2 linked regions of the Pelodiscus sinensis genome follow. The protein of the gene in region 1 interacts with the protein of each later gene in a biochemical or structural test. Links are inferred from orthologs where the notes say so. Each region holds a gene or a part of one and is shown in the gene's direction. Other genes may lie near its edges. The genes, in order: RBSN and RAB5C.

Region 1 (12,343 bases):
GATGCTGTGGCCAGATGGGGGCTTGACCCCAATTGGGGGTTTGTTGGCCAGCCTTCATTTTCAAAGATAACTCAAGGATCAACTTTTCACCCTCCTCTTTTCCACCAACTTGTATCAAGCTTTCCCCAGTCCAGATTCCAGGTACATTCCCTAGTATTCTGGGAGGTCTATGTTTATACCATAGAATAAATATGGCTAACAGATAAATTCATGGCTACCCAGGACTTCTTTCACGTTCTGCTCCATGGCTTGCGCTATGCCAGAGGTGGGCAAAAGGGCCTCCATGGACTGGATCCGGCCCACCAAGCGGGTGGATCCGGCCCACAGAGGCCCTGCCAGTCCCCCAGTCCCAGACCCATTAGGCCCAGGGGGAGCGCGCAAAGTTTCCTCCACTCTGCCAGGCCCACATGGTGCTTGGAAGAGCCAGGTGCTCCTGGCAGGGCTGGAGGAGGCTTTGTGTGCTCCCCCGCCCACAGGCCAACCAGGGCTTGGGGGCAGAGGAGCTCATGAAGTTTCCTCAGCTCTGGCCCCACGTTGTTTCCTCCACTCTGCCAGGACCACACAGGGCTTGGAAAAGCCAGGCGCTCCTGGCAGAGCAGGAGGAGATTTTGTGCACTGCCCTGCCCCCAGGCCCTGATTGGGGGCCTCATAACATGTATGCTAAAGAGTTATTACTATACACACAATTCAATTAGTTGTGAACAATATAGGGCCTATAGCAGATCTGAGCAGTTCTGCTGTCATCCAGTAGAAGACAGTCACACACACTACACAGTTTATTCTTATATCTTTAAAACAGCAAATTGAATCTCAATATATCCTCAGAAGACATAAGCCATTAAGGATTTTTCTTCAAACACCATGAAAAAATAAAACAGCCCCACAGATTCCCAGCAAGTGTAAATCCCAGCCCACAGTAGATCTATGCTGATTTATGGCAATTGAGAATCTGGCCTATGATCTCCAGCTATTTAGTGCTCTGTAAGTAATATTCCCCCATGAAAGGCTGTCAGATAAGTACAAGATTACAGGCAATTTTGAAGCCATTGTGAGCAGCACTATCTAGTGCTGGCACAATAGCCTGTTGGCATTTGTATTAAGGATATCCCTGCCCACAAAGATCTTGACAGGGGCATATTCAGTCTGAGTATCCAGTTATGAGAACCAATGTGCCACATCCAAACCTGGATACAAATTCTTGCAACTTGAGTCCATCTCTTGTTCATGTATTTGTTAGTGTATTGTGGTAAATTTAATGAGAGTTACGCTAACTTAAGTGAGGTCCATGCCCTGCAGCCATTACTGTGGGAACAAACAATTTATGTTGTAACAATGGGGGAAAAAAGACTGCATTTACACAGATTGTCATTTTCTTCATTCAGTGATTCATGCTGTCTGCACAAACGCCTTGTGCTGCCTAGTGCAAATTTAGATATCAAGATCTCTCCTCTGGGAATGTGATAATCAAATCTACTTTCTCTACTTAACTGGTATATTTAGCATGTGGTTAGGAAGTCATGACTTACCTGACTGAGATGCCACTTGTGGAATCCAATTTTCTCTGGCACAAGGAGGCACACCACCATTGGCTTATTCCAGCATGGCACTTATCTGTGGGAAAGCCTCTTCTTGTACTTTCTGTTATTACTTGAGTGCCCCAAAATGCATTAAGTGCCTGTCATAGGGTATTCGCTCATCACCAGTAGCACCTCTTCCTGGCTGTTCTGGGAATTAGCTCTCTTTCAGGTCCAGTGCCTCCACTTGCAGTCTCTTCCCTGCTGTCTTTTCGCAAGCTGAAATCCCTCTCTCACTCCAGGAGCTGCAACCAGGACACTATGTGGCTTCCCCTTCTGGAGTAGAATCTCACTGTATCTGCTGCCCAGACAGTTACTCTCCATTAGTGGCTAGTAGGATAACCCAGGCCCACCCATCACTCCAGATTCTAGTCCAGGGAGCCTAGCACACTGTCAAGCTCTGCTCAGTCCCTAGTCCTGCTGCTTCCTGTTTACCTCTGATAAGCTTTCTTCTCCACCTTTCTCTTTGGGTATGCCCTTCCCCCAGAGCCAGGTCCCCAGCCTCTAACTCTTTCCCTGGATTTCCTCTAATGCACAAAAGATGGCTACAGACTTTCTTGATAGCAAGTTAGAAAAATGGTCAGAGGTAAACAGGATGAAGTTTAATAAAGAGAAATGCAAAGTGCTCCACATAGGAAGGAACAATCAGTTCCATACATACAAGATGGGAAGCGACTGTCTAGGAAGGAGCATGGCGGAAAAGGATCTAGGGGTCATAGTGGACCACAAGTTGAATATGAGTCAACAGTGTGATGCTGCTGCAAAAAAAGCAAATATGATTCTAGGTTGTATCAACAGGTGTGTTGTAAGCAAAACTCATGAAGTCATTCTGCCTCTCTACTCTGCACTAGTTAGGCCTCAGCTGGAGTACTGGGTCCAGTTCTGGGTGCCACATTTCAGGAAAGATGTGGAGAAATTGGAAAGGGTACAGAGAAGAGCGACAAGAATGATTAAAGGTCTAGAGAACATGACCTATGAAGCCAGGCTTCATGAACTGGGCTTGTTTAGTTTGGAAAAAAGAAGATTAAGGGGGGACATGATAGCGGTTTTCAAGTATCTAAAAGGGTGTCACAAGGAGGAAGGAGAAAATTTGTTCCTCTTGGTTTCTGAGGACAGGACAAGGAGTAATGGGCTTAAAGTGCAGCAGGGGAGGTTTAGATTGGACATTAGGAAAAAATTCCTAACTGTCAGGGTGGTCAAATATTGGAATAAATTGCCAAGGGAGGTGGTGGAATCTCCCTCTCTGGAGATATTTAAGAACAGGTTAGATAGACATCTGTCAGGGATGGTGTAGACGGAGCTTGGTCCTGCCTTGAGGGCGGGGGGCTGGACTCGATGACCTCTTGAGGTCCCTTCCAGTCCTATGATTCTATGATTCTATTATTGATGCAATCCCCTTTCTGCTGTAAACTTACTACTTTCATACCAGTCCCAGGTGTTACTCCCCAGCTGGGCTCCATCTCCAATCAGTCCTCCAGTTGCTGGCTCTTTCCCAGGGACAGCCCATCACAGTGTCTTGCCAACTCAAGGAAATGCATGGTCCCTGCCCCAGAGAGGTTACAATCTAATGTCCACACACTGTAAATTGATCAGTATAGGCCAGTGGTCTCCAACCTTTTTAAGCACAAGATCACTTTTTGAATTTAAGTCAGTCCAGGATCTACCTCAAACCCAAATACCCCTGCTCCACCCCTTTGCTGAGGACCTGCGCTCCTCACTCTATGAATATGGGGTACAGGGGAGGGGGACAGAGTGACATCAATGCCCCCTGCCTCTCTTGCCCCCACCCTGCATAACAAGCAGGAAGCTCCCGGGGCAACTCTGAGGCTCTGGGCAGTAGCAGCTGGGCAGTGGTAGGAGGGACAGCTGAAGTGCCAGCGCTTGATAGTCTCCCAGCCAAACCAGTCAGGATCACCTGTCAGAGGCTCTAAGATCTACTGGTAGATCCCGATCTACTGGTTGGTGACCACTGGTATAGGCTGACCCCTGCCAGGCAGAACAAGTCACAGGACTAAGGCCTTAGAGCTCAACTCTGCAAATACTTAGGCTGATGACTAATGTGCCTCCTTGGCAGAGAAAGATGCTAACTAGAGATGTGAGACAAGTGAGGTCAGTAGACAAATGTCATGGAAAGGGGAGGTGGGAAAGAGGTTACAGTAATAAAATCAGATGTTTACTCATCTAGGCTGCTCCTAAAACTGGATCTGCAAAAGCAAAATCCCATTGACTTCAATGAGATACACATAGATGCAGGGGTCCACCAGCATAAAAGCTATTGGGGATGTAAGGGATGCACACATCTTGATGTCTCTATCAAATTCGTAATTAAAATATGTAAATTGTATTTATTTGCCACAAGACTGAAAGATGCTAGAGAGTATTTCGTATAATATAATAGTGGTACAACAAGTAAGCTAGTTAAAGAGTTCTCCAGATTGATCCAATTTTCATCTCTTACTTTCTTTTCTCTTACATATGCTCCCTAGACACCTAGGTGGAGTGCCTTAAAAGTGCCTAGATAAATAGAAAAGCCACAACATAGGATCAAAACAGATACGCAGTGAAGTTGGATATCATCTAAATTTAGAAAAAAACAACAAATGGTCCGGTAGCATTTTATAGACTAACGAAACATGTAGACGGTATCATGAGCTTTCGTGGGCACAGCCCACTTCATCAGATGACCGGAGTTATACTTAGTCAACTGTCATGTCTTGCTTTATTAGCTTGCTTTATTAGTGCAGCAATTTACTGTACAGTTTCATTCTTTTCCAGTCCATGTGAACAGAGTTCTGTATTAAAATACTTAGCAAGGACTCTATTTGTAAAAAAAAAACCCACATTTTTTAAATTCTTTTAAAAGAACTGTTCAGGTTCTTAAGAATTTTTGGATCAATATGCCCTCTTAGCTGATTTTTAAACGGGTATTTGATTTTTTAAGGTAACAGTTTATTATATACAATAAAATTTGTTAATAACATGGGGGAGCAGTCTCTGACTGGGGCAATTTTTTTAACAGCACCATAAAAATCTCTCCTCTGCTTTTCAGAGCAAATGGGTTTTGAGCCTGCACTTTCCATGCTAAGCAGGAAAGTGATCATAACTGGGATTTGCATTCATTTTCACAGCTGTTTGATTTTCTTTACATAATTGAACCAAGAGTATATTGTTTTGAAAAGTGGGGAGTAATGGATACAAATAAGAAAATGGGTGTTTAAAATTAAATGAGTTTGTTTATTTATAACACTATTATTCCTGTGACTAAATCAGATCAGTTCTGAGCCTTTTAATTTCCCTTCAGGTTTTTGTAAAATTATAGTTGTCCAACAGCAGAATGGGGTAAACTCAATAATATGAAAGATGCTCCTCTGCCATTTGTACTGATTTTGGGGCCCTATGTGGGCAACAATTTGAAAACACACTCCACACACCTTTCCTTCCCAGCTTCCTTTGAAACATTCATTGGAAAGGGGGAAGGAGACAGTCAGAATGAGATGGTATCTGCCACAAGGGCAAAATATTCAGCCCCTAAACCTGCAGATGGTTTGAGATCTGAGTGTCCCAGAGTAACTGTCATTACCACATGTATCTCACTGTCTGGTCAATTCCCATGGTCACAAACATACATCAGATTATTCTTTCACCAAAGTGCATATTTAGGCTTTTCTTATAATTTCTTGTTGTAATGCAGTCACCCATTACCAAGATAGTTCCCCAATTATCACCTCTAATACCATTAACTCACAAACATCCCACTCTCCCTACCTCTAATATCATCAATTCACAGACACTTACCTTCCTTCCTCCCCCCCCCACCCCGCATCCCCCTCCTGTTCTGCAATGTGATTTGTCCTTTTCATATTTGTTCATTTTTTTTAATTGTATCCTTTGGTATATATGGTTGTGACTACTTTCTTCCACTATTTGATCTGAGGAAGTGGGTCTGGCCCACGAAAGCTCATCATCTAATAAACCATCTTGTTAGTCTTTAAAGTGCTACATTGTCCTGCATTTTGCTTCAGTAAATAAGCACTTCTCTTTTACCTCCAAAACATCCCCTTGCTGCCTGTTTCTATTTATATCTTCCCAACTACCTCATTAGCCTCCCTGCCCAGCGTTTTTTGCTCTATATGCCTGGTTGGGCACCTATCATGGACCTGCCTCTCCTGGTACCACATCTTTGCAAGGTAACACATGGGGAAAGGGTGGGTTATGTAGGTTTACCCCCCATCCCACCTCAGTTTTCTGACAGGGTTCACATCAGAACATGACCCGCAGCATCCTTTTGGCACTATGCAGGAAAGGAAGGGATGGAAGCTGCTTTCAGCTACAGGGGAGGAGGAGGTGGGGAAGGGATGACCTGGCTCATGTCTTTACAGCACTCATCTCTTACTCCTCCAGCCAAGACCACCTCCCAAAAACCTCCTGTGGCTGAAAGCAGCTCCCCTCTCTTCCTGATGATACAGTGTGAAAAGGCAGCTAACCCCTCCAGCATGGATGGTGGATGAACTCCTGGCTTGGGGAGACAGCCCTCAGCTCCACCTCTTCCACCCAAAGCCCTGCCCCTTCCATACCCAATGGCCCCAACCCCTCCTCCCATTGTGGCTGCTGGCCTTGGAGCCCAGGGTTGCCAGGCAGCACAGCCCCAGACCCCCAGCTCCAGAGTGCTGGAGAGCCAGGTGAGCAGCACAACCTCAGACTCCCTGGGCTGCAATGCAGTGCCTGGTTGCTCCCCCTGCCCATGAAGTCCCTCCCCACCCAAGCCGTCAGCCCCAGCACTGCGCAGGCAGTGGACCCAAGGGCACATGCACCACAGTCCCAATCTGCCTGCCCTCACCTCAGGGAACAGGCAGGAGAGCCTAAAGGTAGAGCATGACCTGATGATGCCACAGACAACCCAGTCACCTCTTGTTCCCTGGCTACAGTGAGGGCAAGAAGGAGTTAAGCCTGAAGGCTCTATTGTCTACTTCAGGGATCAGGGAACTGGATTGCAGGGGCTTCAGCGTACCCAAGTGACTCGGAAAGGGGGAGCTAGTGGACAGAGCACCCCGGGCTCCCTTGGGACAGGATGGAATGTGGGGGGAGAGGGGCAGGTGAAAGGAGGGTGCTAAGCACCTGCCTGAGGGGCTGCTGTGGAGCCTGCCTATTTGAGGAGCAAGCAGGATGGAAATCGCTTTCCCACTACGACTCTAGAGCTTAGCTGAGAGGTGGACAGGATCCTCCAGATCCTCCATGTCAGGGCTGTGTGTGGATTTGGCACATGTAGGGCTTGACTTCTCCTGCCCAGTGCCCAGGGGGGAGGGTTCTGGGCTTTTGGGGGGCACCGGCTCCCAGCCAGAGGCAGTGAGAGGGAGGAAGAAGCCTCCAGCCAGGCTCTTGGTGAGCTGAGCCCTCTGACCAAGGGCTGGTTCTGTGCACAGTGGGAGCGGGACGTGCCCTGCCAGGGGAGATACAGACGAGTAGTGGGATGGGAGAGACAGGTGAAGGGGCAAAGCAGTGAGACTACAGCAATGTTCCCGACTTGCTGCCTACACCGTTCTGCTTACAGCCCCAGCACCGTGTGTGATTCCAGGAGAATCTCCGCTTTCATTTAAATGGTTGCAGAGAAAAGCGGAGCCCGTAACTGGAGCGTACCCCGCTAGCAGGGAAACCCGAAAGCAACGGCGCCTGCCCCACGCCAGACCCCCATGATTGCTGGGGCTGGCAACCCTGGAGATAGGGCCTGACAATGCAGCTTCCATAGAGCTCACAGCCCCCACTCCCTAGCCTGCCCCTGCTCAGAGCCCACGAGCCGCCCTGGCCTCTCCTTGTCCTTGGCCCCTCCCCTTTCCCAGCCTTTGCCCCGGCGATCTTCTAAACCCTCCCTTTCCCAGCAGCCACTGCTCCTCGATCCGTGGACTCGACGCTCGGCAGTGGCGCCTCGGTCAAGCCCCGCCCCTCCCTGCTGTCCCGGATGAGCCTGCCCATCTCCTCCCATCGCTAGCTCGGCGCTCGGCCTGGGCTCTAGCCCTTAGCGCAGCTGGGCCGGGCCCGCGGCCCGGAGCCGCCGCCTCGCCTCGCCTGGGAGCCGAGGTGAGACCCGCCCCGGGGTGGGCTCGGAATCCGGCCCGCGGGCCTGCGCTCCGCTCCTCGGTTGGGGCGCGCCCCTGGGTCCGCAGGGCGGGGGGATTCCTCTCCTCTCGCGCGGGACAGGGCGGGGCCCTTGTGGGGAGTAAAGGCGGCCCGGCCCTGGAGCGCGGGACCCTCCCCCTTCTGGCAGGGGCAGCCCCCCCCCGTCGCAGTGGGGTCGGGGGCGCCGCGGTCCTGATGTTGTTGCCAGAGCTCGGCGGGGCGGGGCGGGGCCGAGCCCGCTCCCCGGGGCGGGGCGGGGCTCGCAGGCGGCCACACGTTGCTGGCAGAGCTCCCCGGGCGCGTTTCGTAACGGTCGGGGTGTCCCGTGGGCACTTGGACCCTCCCCCATCCAGTTGGGCGTGGCTGGACTGCAGCGCGTCCCCCTCGGTGCTCCCGCCACAGCGCCCCTCTCAGAGCGTCACCTCCGTGGGGCGGGTGGAGGCACCTGTCGCAGGATTTCCATGCTGAATAGTCTCCCAAGTGCTTCCTAGGAAGCCACTTCGGTGGGTGAAACGTCCCGAACACCTCTTGCAAGTTCCCACGCTCCCCCGAGGTTGACATTAGTCTCTAGGACAGTGTTTCTCAACTCTTTTGCTTTTTATGAAGTGCCCCCTTTAAAAAAAAATTATAAGTACCCCCAGTACCTACCGTTTCAGAGGCAACATTTTTTTCTACCCTTGCAATACATTTGTTTCAACAACTTAAATGTAGCCGGGCAGGCGATGAAATTTTTGGGTGTAAGAAGTACACAAATAATAAAGTGGTGTAAAATTTAAAACAAAATTCAGTTTTCTCCAAATTTCAGTTGTGTTGCCGTACCCTGCAGACTTCTCAGACTTCTCTCGAGTACCCCTAAGGCAGGCATGTCCAAAGTCCGGCCCGCGGGCCAATTGCGGCCCGTGTTCCGGTTTAATACGGCCCCACAGGTAATTTGGCAATATCTATCTTTTAAGGCCCCCAACGAATCCATATGTATTGAGATGAATACATTGTAAAATCTCAGTTAATGTCAGTTGGTCTAAATCAGTTATAAATATATTTGGACACAACATGTATACTTGGTGTTATGTTCCTGTTCATATTTTTTGAACTTAAAAGTTGACAGACAACCTTTATTACCAATAATATGTAATGTACTTTACAATGTTCCTGACATATATTTCAGCTTCCTGGATTTTTTTTTCATTTGGACTTCAGATATGAAAGGCAGAGTGATTTAACACCTGTTTAGATTTGTGATCCATGTGATGAAATGAAAAGTATGCCGTTTGCAATAAACTTTGCATAAAATAGTTAATTTGCATTTAATTTTAATGGTTCAAAGAATGTCAGGCAAAATGGTCGGCCCTCACGCATGTTCACTTCATGAAATCTGGCCCTCTTTGAAAAAAGTTTGGACTCCCCTGCCCTAAGGGAACTCATACCAGTGGTTCAGAAACACTGCTATAAAAAATGAACATACAATCCTACAGTAACGCACCCAATAGTTGTATTTTTAGTACAGTGGAGCCCAAAGATCAGTATGGTTTAACTTCATTCATGAAGGTTTATCCTGGACATTCGAGGAAATTGCCCTCTAAAGTATTTACCTGGAATGACCCAAGTATTTTGAGTCAGACTGACCATTTTTATTTACATTTTATTTTCTTTAGCTTTCTTTGTCATTTGTCATATAAGTTTTCTTCCCTAGCAAAGGATCTTATGAGAAACTTGTGTTTTACACCCTCTAAGAGAAGTTAAGGGGCTGGGGTATAAAAGGAAGGGTCCACTGAATACTTGAGGGTCTCATGCAATATGTGATATGAGGTGAAGTATGATTTAGTCTAGAGGTCCCAGACTAAATCATGAGTATGTATGTGTACCTCTGCGGGTATACGGAAGTCTTCTAGGCTAGGGCATACATCAACTCATTTAGATATTTACATAGTTTAACAAGGTACATAAAAAACATTAGCAAAGTCTGTACAAACTAAAATTTTATACAGTGACTTGTTTACATGGTTCTATAAGCTATATGCCAAAATGTAAGTACAATATTTATAGTTCAGTTGATTTATTTTATAATTATATGGTAAAAATGAGAAAGTAAGCAATTTTTCAGTAATACAGGTTGAACTGCTCTAGTCCGGCTCATTCTGGTCCAGCAACATCCATGGTCCAGCAAGATTTTATTTAGCCAGATGTCCATTTACTATGGGTGTGGCCAAGTTTCCTGCAGTCCCATGAAGTGTGTTAAAGCCCTCATTCTTGGCTCTAGTGTTCTGTGCTGTTGTTTAATTTATCCCTGAATGTCTTCCAAGAGCCCAGTAAACAGTGGAAGTATTGGTAATACTGTTAGACAGTATTGACCTCCTGTGGTTCAGAAAAACCTCTGGTTTGGCACTGGTCAGATCCCCAGGGTACCAGACTAGAGAGGTTCAACCTGTAGTGTGTTGTGGCACTTTTGTATTTTTGTGTCTGGTTTTGTGTCTGGTTTTGTAAGTCCAGAGATTTTAAGTGAGGTGAAACTTGGGGGTAAGGTTCAGAGTCTTGAATGGGTTATAGTAGTCTGAAAAGGTGAGAGCCACTGCTTTAGTTTCTTCAGTTGTCTGTGGAGCAGTGTTCTAGGAAGTAACTGGATCATTAAAAGATCAGATAGCTACTGAGTTAAACTGTTCATCCTGTTTAAAACTGCACTGTGCATCTTTTTCAGATTGCTGTTTTGCACAAGCTGCAAGGAAGAATGCCACTTGCTCTTTGTTAATTCATCAGACATAATGCTACAGAACAGCATATTGCTGTTCCACTGCTGCTAAGTTTTGGAGGACAACAGTATACCACAAGTGCACAAAGCATCATGGCATCAGGCTACCCTCCTCCATTTGATGACTCTGTGGAAGTGAGAGAGGGTTTTCTCTGTCCCCTGTGCCTGAAGGATCTGCAGTCTTTCTATCAGCTTCAGTCTCATTATGAAGAAGAACACTCAAGTGAGGACAGAGATGTCAAAGGACAGCTCAGAAGTAAGAATCATGACAACAGTTTTAACTTCTGCTGTGTAAAATTATGTACAGTGAAATACAGCCGCTCTCTGAGTTACGAACCAACACTTGGTCCGTAACTTGAACTGTTCGTAACTCAGATCCCATAGAGTTACATGGTGACCATGCTGTTTGTAAGCGCAGATCGCCGTTCGTAACTCGGATCAGCATTTATAACCGCTTTGGTCGTAAGTGCGGATGGTCATAAGTGGAGGTGGCCGTAAGTCGGGGAGCGGCTGTATGTTTGTTGCACTACAGATTCCTAAGAGCATCTCAGCTATAAGTCTCACTTCACTAAAATATTGATTAAAATGAGTTAGAAGTGGGGTTGGTTAATGTGTAAATGGATTTAGGCCAAAGAATTTTTGTACAGTTTCCAACAGAAAGTTTCAATAATGTTTTCTAACTTGGTTTCCTAATTTTAGGCAACTAAATAAGCGGCTTGATTTTCAGATACCTACTTTTAAGCGCCCAAGTTAGAAAATGCAGGTGCTTCACTTTTGTGAGAGTTCTCAGTACATGAAGGATTTATATTATTAGAATTAATAACAGTTATGCTTGCAGTTTCCGTGGACACGATCTCAAAAAATAAATTATGGATTTGTCATTGGAATTGAAGGTGGATAACTTGCACATAATTAAAAGTGGGGTGTGAAATTGACAAGAGCCTTGGCTATATTTATAGTGGATTTAATAATGCTGTTTAGGTAATCTATTTTTGTGATAATAAAAGATTCTTCTTAGCTTTTTGTTCATATACACTTCAGTTGTATGTGTTGAGTAAAATGTTCAGAAACAGTCTTGAGTGTTTTCCTGGACAGTTGCTTGTTTTTCCTTAATCTTGAATTTTTATAATTTTTAACTGTAATTGACAGTGCCCCTTAAAAGGATACTTTGTTTGAATATATGGCTTTTAATCTCAATATTTTTATTTAAAACATTGCTTGTGTTACTCTTAGACCATGTTAGATTATTAAATTAGATTTATCAGACTGAATTTTACTTTTCACCACTTTAGCTGCTCATTTGCTTTTAGCCATTCACTCACTTTTGACAATGAAAGTAGACTTGTGTTCTGCTATCTCAGTAGTGTCCCTTCAATTTAAAATATCTCTGACATTTTCAAATTTTTCTTTAATTTGTATTTTTAAGGATGTTATTTTTATCTGTCTGCTTTGTCATAGTCAATGCTGCCACTTTAAAACATTGCATGGAGCCTGAGATCAGTTCCCAGTTGATCCTGGGTTCCATGCGGTGCTGCTGCTTTGAAATGCTGTGTGCAGCTTGATTCTGGGCTCCCCGGAGCATTTCAAAGTGGCAGCGCCACTTGGAGCCTGGGGTCTGGCTCCAGGTTCCAAGTGACACTGCCGCTTTGTTGAAGTACCCCCTACTATTCTTCCTCCTTGCTGCCTCTTTCTGACAGAGGCAGCAACAGGGGGATGTGACTAGTCAACTAGCCTGTCGATCATCTGATAAGCATTTACTTATCAGATAGTCAACTAGTCGGCTAGTCCTTCACATCTCTACTGATAACAATGAGGAAAATTACAGCAGGTCTCCAATTTGATGTGTATAAATGTGTCATGGGATACGTGTTAAACTTTATATGACAAATGATAGAAAAATTATGTGATTGCATAC
Region 2 (11,367 bases), on another chromosome or scaffold:
CCGCCGGCCCCAGCCCCGCCTTCCCCCACTGCCCCGCTCAGAGCCATCCCGGGCCACTCCTCCGTTGCAGATCAGACTCGGAAAGCTTCCGCTGACACCCCCACCGTCGGCTCACCCCTGCCCAGAGCCGCACCCCTGCCTCCTGTCTGGCTCGCCCTCCGGGTGTGGCGCCCGCCTGGCTCCGGCTGGGCACCGGGGCGAGCGAAACGGATGGAGCGCACGGAGGCCACCCCCGTTCTGCCAGCAGCAACTTTCCTCTGCAGGAGGAATCACAAGAGATAGGAATTGGGGGGAGGAGTGAAGGAGAGCCCCCCCTCCTGGGCTCTTCCAGGACACTTTCCGCTCCAGCTGTCAACCCAACTGCCCGCAGACTGCAGAGCCGCGGCCTTTTCTACAAAATGACGCTTTTTACGTTTGCGACGAGCAGTTTGTTCCGAGAGCCGTAGAACGCCCAGGACAACCGTGAGCACAAGGCCATCCGCTGCCCCCCAGCCCAGCCCCACTGGCGCCCCACAGGCCTGGAGCGCCCCCCCCCCCCCCAGCGAGGTACCTCTCTGCTCCCCTGGTGGGAGCTGTCTCCCCAGTCTTCTGCTCCTATCTCCAGTACGAATTGGCACGAATTCAACACGGGGCGGGCGGTGGGGCTGGAGCTGGGGGCCGAGCGGGTCGGGCTGGAAGGGCTCTGGTGTAATTGATGGGAGGAAAAGCTGCATGAAACGCACAATGCTGGAAACCAGCTGGGCTGATCCTAGGGCCACTTGGAAACCGGGGCCGGTAGGGCCGTCCAGCTTCTCGCCGATCCGCCCCGGACTCCAGGGAAGCCTCAGGGGCAGTGGTGGACTGGGCTGGACTCGGTAGCGCCTGGTGCCCGGCCGGGAATCCCCACCCCCAGGCTGTCGGCCGCTTTGTTCCCGGCGCCGTAGGGCTCAGTTTCGAGGCGCTGCAAGTCGGGGGGTCCAGACTGTGCTGTGCCAAGGCTACGTGTCCCAATATGCAAGTGTAACCCCCTGCGCGGGGGGGCCAGGTGCCCCTGCCCTCCCCGGAGGGGGGTGATTGCTGCAACTCCAGGGACGGAGCCCAAGCTCCAGGGCCCTGGTTCAGTCCTGGGGGTGGCCGGCCAGACCCTCTGGCTGGAGGGGAGCTGGAGCAGTGCATTCTGGGAGCTGTGCAGCTCCAGGAGCACCCCCTTTGTGTGTGAATGACCCAGCTCAGCCTAGCTCCCCACCTGTCCAGCTCACGCAGCCGCCCCCAGCGCTGGGCCTGTGTCACCCTACGTCTTTTCCGGCACAGCCCTGCCTGGCCGCCTCGGCGACTGGGAATTCTCCGCCCTGGCCGCCTCTGGGCTGTTCCCAACAAGTGCCTGTGTGGCACATCCCAGCCTGCCTCCTCCCCACGAGACCTTGGCTGTGCTCGCCACAACCGGCAGTCTCTTCTGACCTCAGTGCGAGGGAGGGGGCTGGGTGGGTGGGGAAGCCCCTTTGTGCTCAGGATTAGGATGCAGGGGAAGCCCTATAAGGGTTGGTCGCTGTCCAGGGACCCTGTGCTGAGCTCTAGCAGCTGGTCCGAGAGAGAGCCGTGCCAGCCTGCCTCTTCGGGCTGGGCCTGCAGGGGCTGGGCTGGGCCACAAGGTGGTGAGCCTGGACCCAGCCACGGCGGGCAGAGTTAAGGGGACCACGGCCAAGCAGACACCTCCTTGGGACCACACACACACAGAGAGACAGACAGACAGACAGAGCTGGGCTGCTACCAGCCACTGTTCTCCCTGAGCCCAGAGGCACCCGGACTCCAGCAGTCGCCCGTCACTGCCCTCCCCGTCTGCTGCGGCGCCTGGCTCTGGGGCTCTGCTCCCTGCTGGGAACTTCAGTGATTCTCCGGCGTTTTGCTCCGTTTTATATTTGGTCCCTTCCACAGATGAATCCTCCCCGCATCTGCCACCAGCATGTGCCACCGCTGCCCAGCCCCTCCCCGGCCACCCCCTCCATGGTGCTGCAGAGACACAACATGAAATAAAAGCTCTATTTTTACAGCCACTGCCTCCTGCTGCTTTTGGGGAGGGGCAATGTTGTGCCCCTGCTGCTTGGTACGTGGTACGGTCAATGGCTGGCATAGGAGGGGTTGGAGAGACGGGGGGGGGACAACTCAGTCTGATTCCCAAAATACCTGGCACCCCAAAGCACCTTGCTGAAAGGCCCCCCCCTACCTGGGGCTCCATCTGCTCAGATCCCTTTGCTGCTGCTTTCTGGGATCCTGGGGACCAGTTCAGGCCTTGCCCCTTCCCCCACCCACTTGCCATCACAGCCACTTGCTGTAAGACACTGTAAGATTGTCAGTGTTCGTGCGGAAATACTACGCTGCTCCCGTTCGGGCAAAAGCCCTCGTGTGTAAATGCTTTTGCGCAAGAGGGCCAGTGTAGACAACGCGGTATTGTTGTGCGGATAAAAGCCCCGATGGCGAAAATGGCGATCGGGGCTTTCTTGCACAAAACTGCGTCTAAAGTGCTTTTGCGCAAAAGCACCCGTGCCAATCTAGATGCTCTTTTCCGCAAATGCTTTTAACGGAAAAACTTTTCCGCTAAAAGCATTTGCGGAAAATCATGCCAGTCTAGACGTAGCCGTGTTGTCAGAGGTGCTGTGCCAGCCAGCTACCCTCCCTGGAACAGGGCAATTAACTGGTGGCGCCTTTTCCTGGCAAGCCAGCCTGACTCACGGGCACCAGTCCCCACCTGTCCTAGGCTGCTGGGGCTCAGCCATGGATAGATTGGCCAACCCAGTTTTCTGGCCTAGAGGGGAGTGTGCGTTTCCCCTGCCCCACTGGCTCAGTGGCCCAGCCTGCTCTCCAGCCCGGCATGGGGGGCAGTGGGGTTTATGCTGACAGGCAGCGCCTCCTGTGGCCTTGTCCGCCCTGTGCTCTGCAGCTCTCTACATGCTCCTGGGGGCTTACCCAGCCCGGCTCACTGACTGCGCCCCTTGACTCTGGCAGCTTGGACCCTGTGAGGGGGGGAGGTTTCTCTCCCTGCTCTGCCCCAGCCACACAGGCTAGCCCGTGAAAAATCTCCCTTGGGCCAGAGCTCCCAGGTCTCTGCGAGCAACAAACATCGCTGCTGGCAACACAGGGCGGCCTCTCGGCTCCCTCCCCTAACGAGCCCTCGGGGTGGGTTGCATCACCTGCTCTCCTAAGCTGGGGCTGCCGTGTGACTGCAGGCTGCTGGGCCACACCAAGGGCAGGTCGCTGATCCCATCCTCCGACCCAGCCCACAGTCCCCATTGCTCCATGTGCTTTCCAAGCTGCAGCAGGGCCGGCATTGGGCTGAGTCACAGCAGCTCCCGATGTAACAGACTAGGACCCAGCCTGAACACCCGTAAAGATCCTACAGCCAAGTAGGGCGGAGCCAGCCCATAGCTCTGCCTGCCAAATTTCCTCTTACCAGGCCCCTGTCCTGGCAACCTGCCAGGCCCTGGGTAGCTACAGCTGCCACTTCTGCCCTTTGAACCCCAGAGCCCTCGTCTCCAGGGCATGGCACAGGACTACGCTCTGCTCTCCCGCCCATCAGGCACTGCTGCAGAAACGCCAGGGGCTGCTGTCCGTGAGGACACCCCTACTCGGGGGAATTCCCCTCCACTGCACCACGGTGATGTTCACGTCTTCAGCCCCTTTCTTTCCAATGCTCATTGGCTGCTCTGCACACCCGCCGCTGAAATGCAGCCAGCTCTGGGTGGTTGCGTATGTGTCAGAGGCAGGCCTGAACCCAGGATCTTCTGCTGCCCAGCACAGCCCTCTCCTGCTAGTGCCAGCCTCTGGGAGCTACAGCCCCGCTGGGATGTTGGAGGCAGAACCCTCTCCTAAGCCCTGAGCCACGGCCTGGGTTTGTGGAGGGGCCCTGTCAGCGCGCCGAGGCTGAATTGTGTAGCTGGCATGGGTCAGGTCTACGGTTGTCAGATGGTTGAAACAAAAATACAGAACAAGCCGCCCCCTGCCAAAAAAAAAAAAAACACTGAGAAAAAATTCTGTTGAAGGAAAAAAAAAGGGGGGGGGGAGCCAAAGAGGTTGAGAAAAAAAAAAAAGACTCCAAGGCCATTTTGTGCCAGCAGCCTTGCAGAACCTGGGGCTGGGGTCAGGGAGCTGGGGTGTTGGGAGCCAGGGGGGGCTTGAGGAGGGAGGCAAGTTGCTTCTCAGTTTAAATCTCTGTGGTGATCACAGGGATGGGGCACTGCTAGGGGTTACCAGGTAGTCATTAACAAAAAAACTGGACACGCTTCATAGGAGGAGGGGAGGGAGAAGGACTGGCCAGGCGGGGAGCGGTACTGACTGGGAAGGGTGGGGGGGCCTGGAAACAGCTAACGGGGGGGGGGCAACGGGGCTGGCTGGGGAAAGATGGGGGGGCCAACGGGAAGCAGGGCTGGTCGTGGGGGGGGAGGTTGGGCGGTACGGAGCTGGCCGCGGAATATCAGGGGAGGGGAACTGACCGGGAGGAAGGGGGGGGCGGGAGCTGCGAGGCTGGCCGGGAGGAAGGGGGGGCAGGAGGAAGGGAGGTGGGAAGCACAGCTGGGGAGGGGTCGGGAGCCGTGGGGCTGGCTGGGAGGGAAGCAGAGTTGGCGGGGGCGGGGGTGCAGCGGCGCAGGAAGAAGAACAGGCCAGTGGGAAGCAGAGCTGGGGGGCGGTGCAGGGGGGCTGGCCGGGGAAGATCAGGAGGGGAAGTGGGGGAGGACCGGCCGGCCGGGTAGGGGAGGGGTGAGCAAATCGGCCGGCGGGAGCGGGACTGACCCGGGCACTTGCAGATCCTGGGGCGCTGCCTGTCCCGCGCAGGCTCCCGGCAACGCACGAGCAAGGAGGAGGCTTCCCCCACTCAACCAACGGAGGGCTCTCGGCGGCAATGGTGGCCCCGCTTCCCAACTAGGACGCCCAGCCGCTCCCCCCGCCCTTGCCAGGCTTCTGTCTGGTGCGCAGCCGGAAAAATCAGACAATACCGGACATTGCACGTGTCCAGTATTGTCTGATTTGTTTTACCGGACAGAGCGAGCAAATACCGGACTGTCCGGTACAATACCGGACACCTGGCAACACTAGTCATGTTGGTGGCTGGACTTGGGCAGTTTGCAGCCTCCTGGGTAAGAGGGGATGGGGGCAGCAGAACAGCCTAAAACCACTATACCAGTCCAGCTGTCCTCAGGGCCAGCTCCAGCCGTGGGCACGGGACTGACCGTGTGCAGCAGGGCAGGCTGCGTCCCAAAGCAGACCCGTGGGCCAATGCCTCCACCTCTGTCTCCTCCAGGCCAAGCGCCCCCCCCTCCCCCCCCAGCAGGCTTGGGTGGCCCAGCACCCCTCCCTATCACACCCAGCTCTGGGGTGGCACAGATGATCCCAGCTATCCCAGGGAGCTCCCTGCTGCCACCAGGGGGAAGTCCTGCTGGCCCCCCACCCAGGCAACAGAGTCTTCCTCCTGCTCTCCCTCCCCCCACCTCGCCCCAGGCTCCTCCCTCTGCCCCAGGCTCCACCCCCTCCGTTCTCATCCCCCCCCTCGCTCCCCCCCCGCTACAGGCTCCTCCCTCTGTCCCTGGCTCCTCCTCCCTCCCCCCACCTCGCCCCAGGCTCCTCCCTCTGCCCCAGGCTCCACCCCCTCCGTTCTCATCCCCCCCTCGCCCCCCCCCCCCCGCTACAGGCTCCTCCCTCTGTCCCTGGCTCCTCCTCCCTCCCCCCACCTCGCCCCAGGCTCCTCCCTCTGCCCCAGGCTCAACCCCACCCGCAGGCTCCACCCCCTCCATTCTCATTCCCCCCCCCCCAGGCTCCTCCCTCTGCCCCAGGCTCCACCCCCTCCGTTCTCATTCCCCCGCCCCAGGCTCCTCCCTCTGCCCCAGGCTCCACCCCCTCCGTTCTCATCCCCCCTCGCCCCCCCCACTACAGGCTCCTCCCTCTGTCCCTGGCTCCTCCTCCAGGGAGCACCGAGCCCCCGCCCCAGGCTCCACCCACGCCCCCAGGCTCCTCCCCCTGCCCATCCCCGTTCCAGGCTCCTCCCTCTGCCCCAGGCTCCTCCCCCTCCCCTTACCACCGCCCAGGCTTCTCCCTCCGCTTCCCCCACCCACTTCAAGCTCCGCCCCCTTCCAGGCTCCTCCCCCTGTTTCTTCCCTGCGCACCAAGCTGCGCCCACCGCCCCAGGCGGCACCCTCCCACCTCGAGGCCTACAACTCCCATCGGCCCCCGCGAGTGCGTCACGTGGACCGCCCCGCCGCGCTACGCCCCACTTCCGGCAGCGCGGAGAAGGGCCGGGCTGGGAGGGGCGGGGAGGGAGGAGTGGGCAGGGCTTCGGTGATTGGCGGACGCCGCTGCCTCTGACCCCGCCCGACCGGAGCGGAAGGGGTGGGCGGACCCGGAAACGGAGCAGCTGAAAGGCGGAAGTGGAGGCCGCAGCCTGAGAGCCAGCTGGGGCGGGGGAGAGAGGCGACCCCGGCGCGGTGAGTGGGGCCGGTTCGGAGCGGGGCGTCCTGGGGCGGGGGCTCGGTGCTGCGTGTCCTGCTCCCTGGAGCCGGGGCGGGGGCGCAGTCGGGCGGGGAGGGGCCGCTCAGGGGGGTGTCCTGCCCCTTGGAGCCGGGGGGCAGAGAGGCCCTGTGGGTGGGGGGCGCCCTGAGGTGGGTGCCTTGTGGGTGGGGGGGGCCCTGAGGTGGGGGGGCCCTGTGGTGGGTGCCTTGTGGGTGGGGGGGGCCCTGAGGTGGGGGGGCCCTGTGGTGGGTGCCTTGTGGGTGGGGGGGGCCCTGAGGTGGGGGGTGCCTTGCTTCCTGGGACCAGGGGGTGATCTGGCAAGGAGGCACTGGGCTGGGGGGACTCTGTCCTTGTCTCACATGCTCCCCCTCTTTATTCTTTGCTCTATACGTAAGGTTGTGTTCGGGGGGGGGGGGGGTCTTTTTAAGGGAGCTTTGCCCAGCCACTCTTCAGGGGTCAGCAGAGATCAGCCCTGGCCACACAGTACTGGGCAGTGTTGCCTGTATGCTGGGCACTTGCGTAGCTGCTCAGAGTCAAGTGCTGGCCAGCCAGCTGACTAGCAGAGCTACTGCAGCTAGTATTTTTGTCTGTGTTCTATTGGTAGTGCACCTTTGCACATATCTCAGTGTGCGCAAAACTTATTCTGTATGTGGTTGGGGAAAAAATCTACACCTGGATGGACTGGATTAGAGGGAATGTTGGTATGGAGTAGTTATTCCCTTGGTAACTTGGCTGGGTTCCTTGTTACTTGGCATGTGTGTGTAAATGGGCCTGGAAGCAGCTGAGATCCTGGGCTGTTTACAGGGGTAACCTTCCCTGTTTCCCTGAACACCTGAGACCAGTTTAGGTGGCTGGTGAGAAGTGGGATTAATCTATTGTCCTGTCTTGGATGAGACTCTGTAATCTTGCCCACATTTCCCCCCCCCCCCATGCGTGCACATAAAGCATACCAAGAATGGCATTTGCTGGTAACTCACTTATTACATGAGTAGAAAAGAGAAGCAAACTCATCTTTCCCCCCCCCCCCCCCCCCCCTGCCCCTGGTCATTAATTCTATTGCTTCCCTGGTTATGAACAGTCAATTTCCTAGTAACTTCCCCTTCCCCTGGCTTGTATTGTCACTTGGTAAATGTATGACAATTCATGATTCACTTTGACCCAGCAAACAGACCTCTCTCTCTTGCCCACAATTAGGATCTGGATAACTGGATTGGTTGACTGGGTAATGGTGGCTTTTGTTGCCATAATCACCCTAGCTTTCTGGGCACTGGACAGGTCTAATGGCTGTGGCATAGTGTTTCCAAGGGTTAGGCTTTCTGTTGTCAAATGTAGGTGTACAAGTTGACCATAATATTATGGCTTTATGGTAGTTAGTGTTATTGAGCAGAAAGTTTAAGGCAGAGAATTGTCAAAACTAGGTCTTTGAGAAGTCACCTAGTCTGGACTGAGCTGAGCACTGGTGTGTGAGGTGGGGAGACTTCAACTTCCAATCCCAACTTGGACATAAGCTTGTAATGTGAGCCTTGGAGGAGGGTGTCTTATCTTCTGACATGGGCATGGTATTTGGCTCCAAAGACTGGGGGCTTGTTGCCTAATGTGAAACAATGGAAGTGCAAGGAATAAAGGGTTTAACTGAAGAAAAGATGGTGTCTTAAAATAGATTCCTCTGGTTAGACTCTTGAATAAAAGTGCAAATTTCCCATACAGAGATTTCACTTAGGTCATATGCATGCTTCTATAAAACTAACCTTCTCACTCGCTTCTTGATAGGGCCTGTATGGTAGTGCACTTACTGTGGAAGTGTACAAGATTTTTCAGAGGCACAGAATGCAGGTGCTATCCAACCAAAATGTATGATCCTTATGGACATCAGAGCAATAATATTTACTACTTATTATAATTAGTTTACTTCCTGATTTTAAAAGCAGCATACTTAGAAGCTGCTCACTTAATTTCCCAGTTGGAGTACGGGGATATGGCTCTTCAGGTTTGACTCATAAGGGCTGCCTGAGTTACTAGTTAATAGTTTCTTTATATGTAGGGGAATACCATGCTGTGTCAGGCTTTCTGAATGACTGCCACAATAGCCAGCTGTAACTGTTCTGGTTATTTAAGTGCCATTGTACTGTTTTGTATAGACAAAGTAATTGATTTCTCCTAACTTCTATGACTTGTAGCAAAGGTTAGAGCACTTCTGCTTTTTTTTTTAAGAGCTTGGATTTCTTAGAAAATATCTTGTGGAAATAAACTGCCCAGGGATTTAGGAAACAGGAGCCCAAAGTTAGTTGCCAAAGGGATCCAATATTTGTGTCTATTTTAAGAGTTTCAAGTATCTAGCTTCTAGTGGACTTAAGACCCCAACTTCAGTCTCTCATTTCAGAAAGGGGGGGGGAATGGTCAGAGCTGGTGTTTACAAATTGAATATGTATCAAGTTGAAGGTGGACTTAACACATTTAGAGGTAATACTGCAGTTAAATTGCATGACAGTGGGATCAAATGTAGACCTCATAAATATGCTAAACTGTAACAAATTCAAAGCTGAATGGAGTAGGGATGTAATAGCATAGTTGATTAACCTGTAAGCTTTTGCTTATTGGCTAATGCTGTCCACTACATGCATTTCCCTGCCTGTCAGTAAGTGTTTGCTTTTAAAAAAAAAAAAAAAAAAGACTGGCCAGCAGCCTGTCTCTGTCCTGGTTTGTGATGGGTCCAGGACCTACCCCTGCCATGGTTCTACATCTAAAGTGTATTAGGAGCTGGGTGGGCAGGCAGCCATCTCTGTTTTGGCTCGCACCAGCTCAGAATGCCTAGAATGGAGTACAATTAGGTTTTACTTGCACTTAAAAGGTAACTTTTACTTAAGGGTAAAGGAGCAGTGGTCCTGACAGGTCATTAGTGATATTGCCTCACTAAGGAAACTGGACACTGAAGGTGTGTCTTGGTATGAGAAACAGCAACTAAGTTTTCCAGCCTTTTTATAACTTCTCAATGAAATCAGCGGTGTTAAAGTCAACACTGTCTGGTTTGGGATCTTACTGGCAGCATTGATATTATGTTGGCTCACCTCTAACATCTTGTGCTTTTGTAAATGGCAATTTGAGACAAATCAAGGTTGAAGTTAAAATGTATAAAGGAAAGAAGAGAGATTACGCTGGGACATCATGTTTTAAGGCTGTTCCGTGTGAAACATGCTGCTTGTATATTCTTGGCTTTCTGTTGACACAGTTCAAAATAATTGAATGCCCTGCTTGTACTAGATCAAATTGGCAGAAGAGACAATGTATCAGAACCTTGGTGCCAAGCTGAGACAACTCCTGACCTCTTCCTGTTTGAGGTAATTGAACTCCAAACTCTTAATCTCCAAGGCCAAGAGCTGAGGGGCCTGTTAGTCTTCATGGACTAACAGGGACTGCTTCCGTTCCTGTGCCCTTGTCCTCCACTCTAGCTCATATCTTTGAAACTTCCTGTTCATAGGCCCATTAACTCCTTGGCTGCTTCTCTTAACCACACTCTGGGTTGCTCTTATACTTGGAGCTTGTAACTGGTGCTCTGGGTGGCCAGAAGTAGAAGCAGCCATGATGAATGTGGAATTCTGAGAACAATGCATGTAGTCTGCAGCTCTGAACCAGGGATCGGCTACACACCGTGACTGAGTGACCCAGAACGGCAGTGTTGAGAAATAACTTGACATTTATGGGTCGCTGAGTAGCTTGCTTCATTCCGAATGGTTGAAGTAATCCTGTTTGGAATCTTGCCCTACATCTTCAACTAATGTGATCTTCCTGAATCATACGTCTAAAGGATCTAGATGTTCATGGTACAGGCAGTCCCTGGGTTACATACAAGATAGGGACTGTAGGCTTGTTCTTAAGTTGAATTTGTATGTAAGTCGGAACTGGTACATATTGTAGGGGAAACTCTAGCCAAACATTTCTCCAGAGCTCAGTTTTATTCTCCCACACCTCACTTCCCTCAGTCCTTTATTCTCAAGCTAAGGTGTCTGCTGAGAAGCTGCTCTGTGTCTCCCTGGTCTGCTGGGTGGGGGTAGGGGGGGGGGCGCTAGCTTCACGTCTCCCTGGTCTGCTGGGGGGAAGCAGCTAGTGCAGGGTTGCCTCACCCTGTTTGTAAGTGGGATCCGATGTAAGTCGGATCCATGTAACCCGGGGACTGCCTGTATGCCCCCATATCTTGAATGCTGCAGACAGATATGGATGTCTCATTTAAAGATGTATTTGCATTTTGAAAGTCTAGAAAAGGGCAGAAAATGGTTAGGGGTTTGGAGGGGCTGCTGTATAAGGAAAGATTAATAAGACGAGGACTTCTCATCTTGGAAAAGAGGTGACTAAGGAGGATATGATAGAAGTCTATAAAATCATGACTGGGGTGGAGAAAGTGAATAAGTTCCATAACACAAGAACTAGGGGTCACCAAATTAGATTTAATAGGTAGGAGGTTTAAAACCAACAAACAAGTATTTCTTCATGCAGTGCAGTCAACCTGTGGAACTCCCTGCCAGAGGATATTGTGAAGACCAGGACTTGAACAGGGTTCAAAAAAGAAATTCAGAGATTAGGTCCATCAGTTGCTATTATCTAGGATGAGCAAGAATAGTGTCCCTAGCCTCTGTTTGTCAGGGGCTGGGAATGGGTGGCAGGGGAGGGATCACTTGATTCCCTGTTCTGTTCACTCTCTAGGACACGTGGCATTGACCACTGTTGGAAGACAGGAGGCTGGTCCTTTGTTTAACACCATTATCCTTCCAGAGAATGAGTGAATAGCTTATACATTTTTATAGGGTGCTCCAAGTTGTTGTCTGTGTTTCAGAAATGGAGCCAGATGAATGTGTTCCCTCATACAACCCTATCAGTTTCTCTAGGCATTCTTAATGGCCTTCA

What was found.
Region 2: the proteins of RBSN (region 1) and RAB5C form a complex in vitro, tested with the Homo sapiens proteins (2 studies listed by BioGRID and IntAct, with this or other methods). The link is inferred for Pelodiscus sinensis from reciprocal best matches to the Homo sapiens genes RBSN and RAB5C.

What each region holds. Positions count from the first base shown.
Region 1 is NC_134721.1:20,568,724-20,581,066, forward strand, and holds the start of RBSN (rabenosyn-5), read left to right. Parts: upstream 1-7,485; 5' UTR 7,486-7,646; intron 7,647-8,400; exon of another isoform or gene 8,401-8,611; intron 8,612-10,377; 5' UTR 10,378-10,521; coding exon 10,522-10,684; intron 10,685-12,343. UniProt on the Homo sapiens protein: Rab4/Rab5 effector protein acting in early endocytic membrane fusion and membrane trafficking of recycling endosomes. Required for endosome fusion either homotypically or with clathrin coated vesicles.
Region 2 is NC_134739.1:9,303,194-9,314,560, forward strand, and holds the start of RAB5C (ras-related protein Rab-5C), read left to right. Parts: upstream 1-6,288; 5' UTR 6,289-6,446; intron 6,447-9,739; exon of another isoform or gene 9,740-9,806; intron 9,807-11,367. Other genes in the region: voltage-gated delayed rectifier potassium channel KCNH4, read left to right, coding at 1-95. UniProt on the Homo sapiens protein: The small GTPases Rab are key regulators of intracellular membrane trafficking, from the formation of transport vesicles to their fusion with membranes.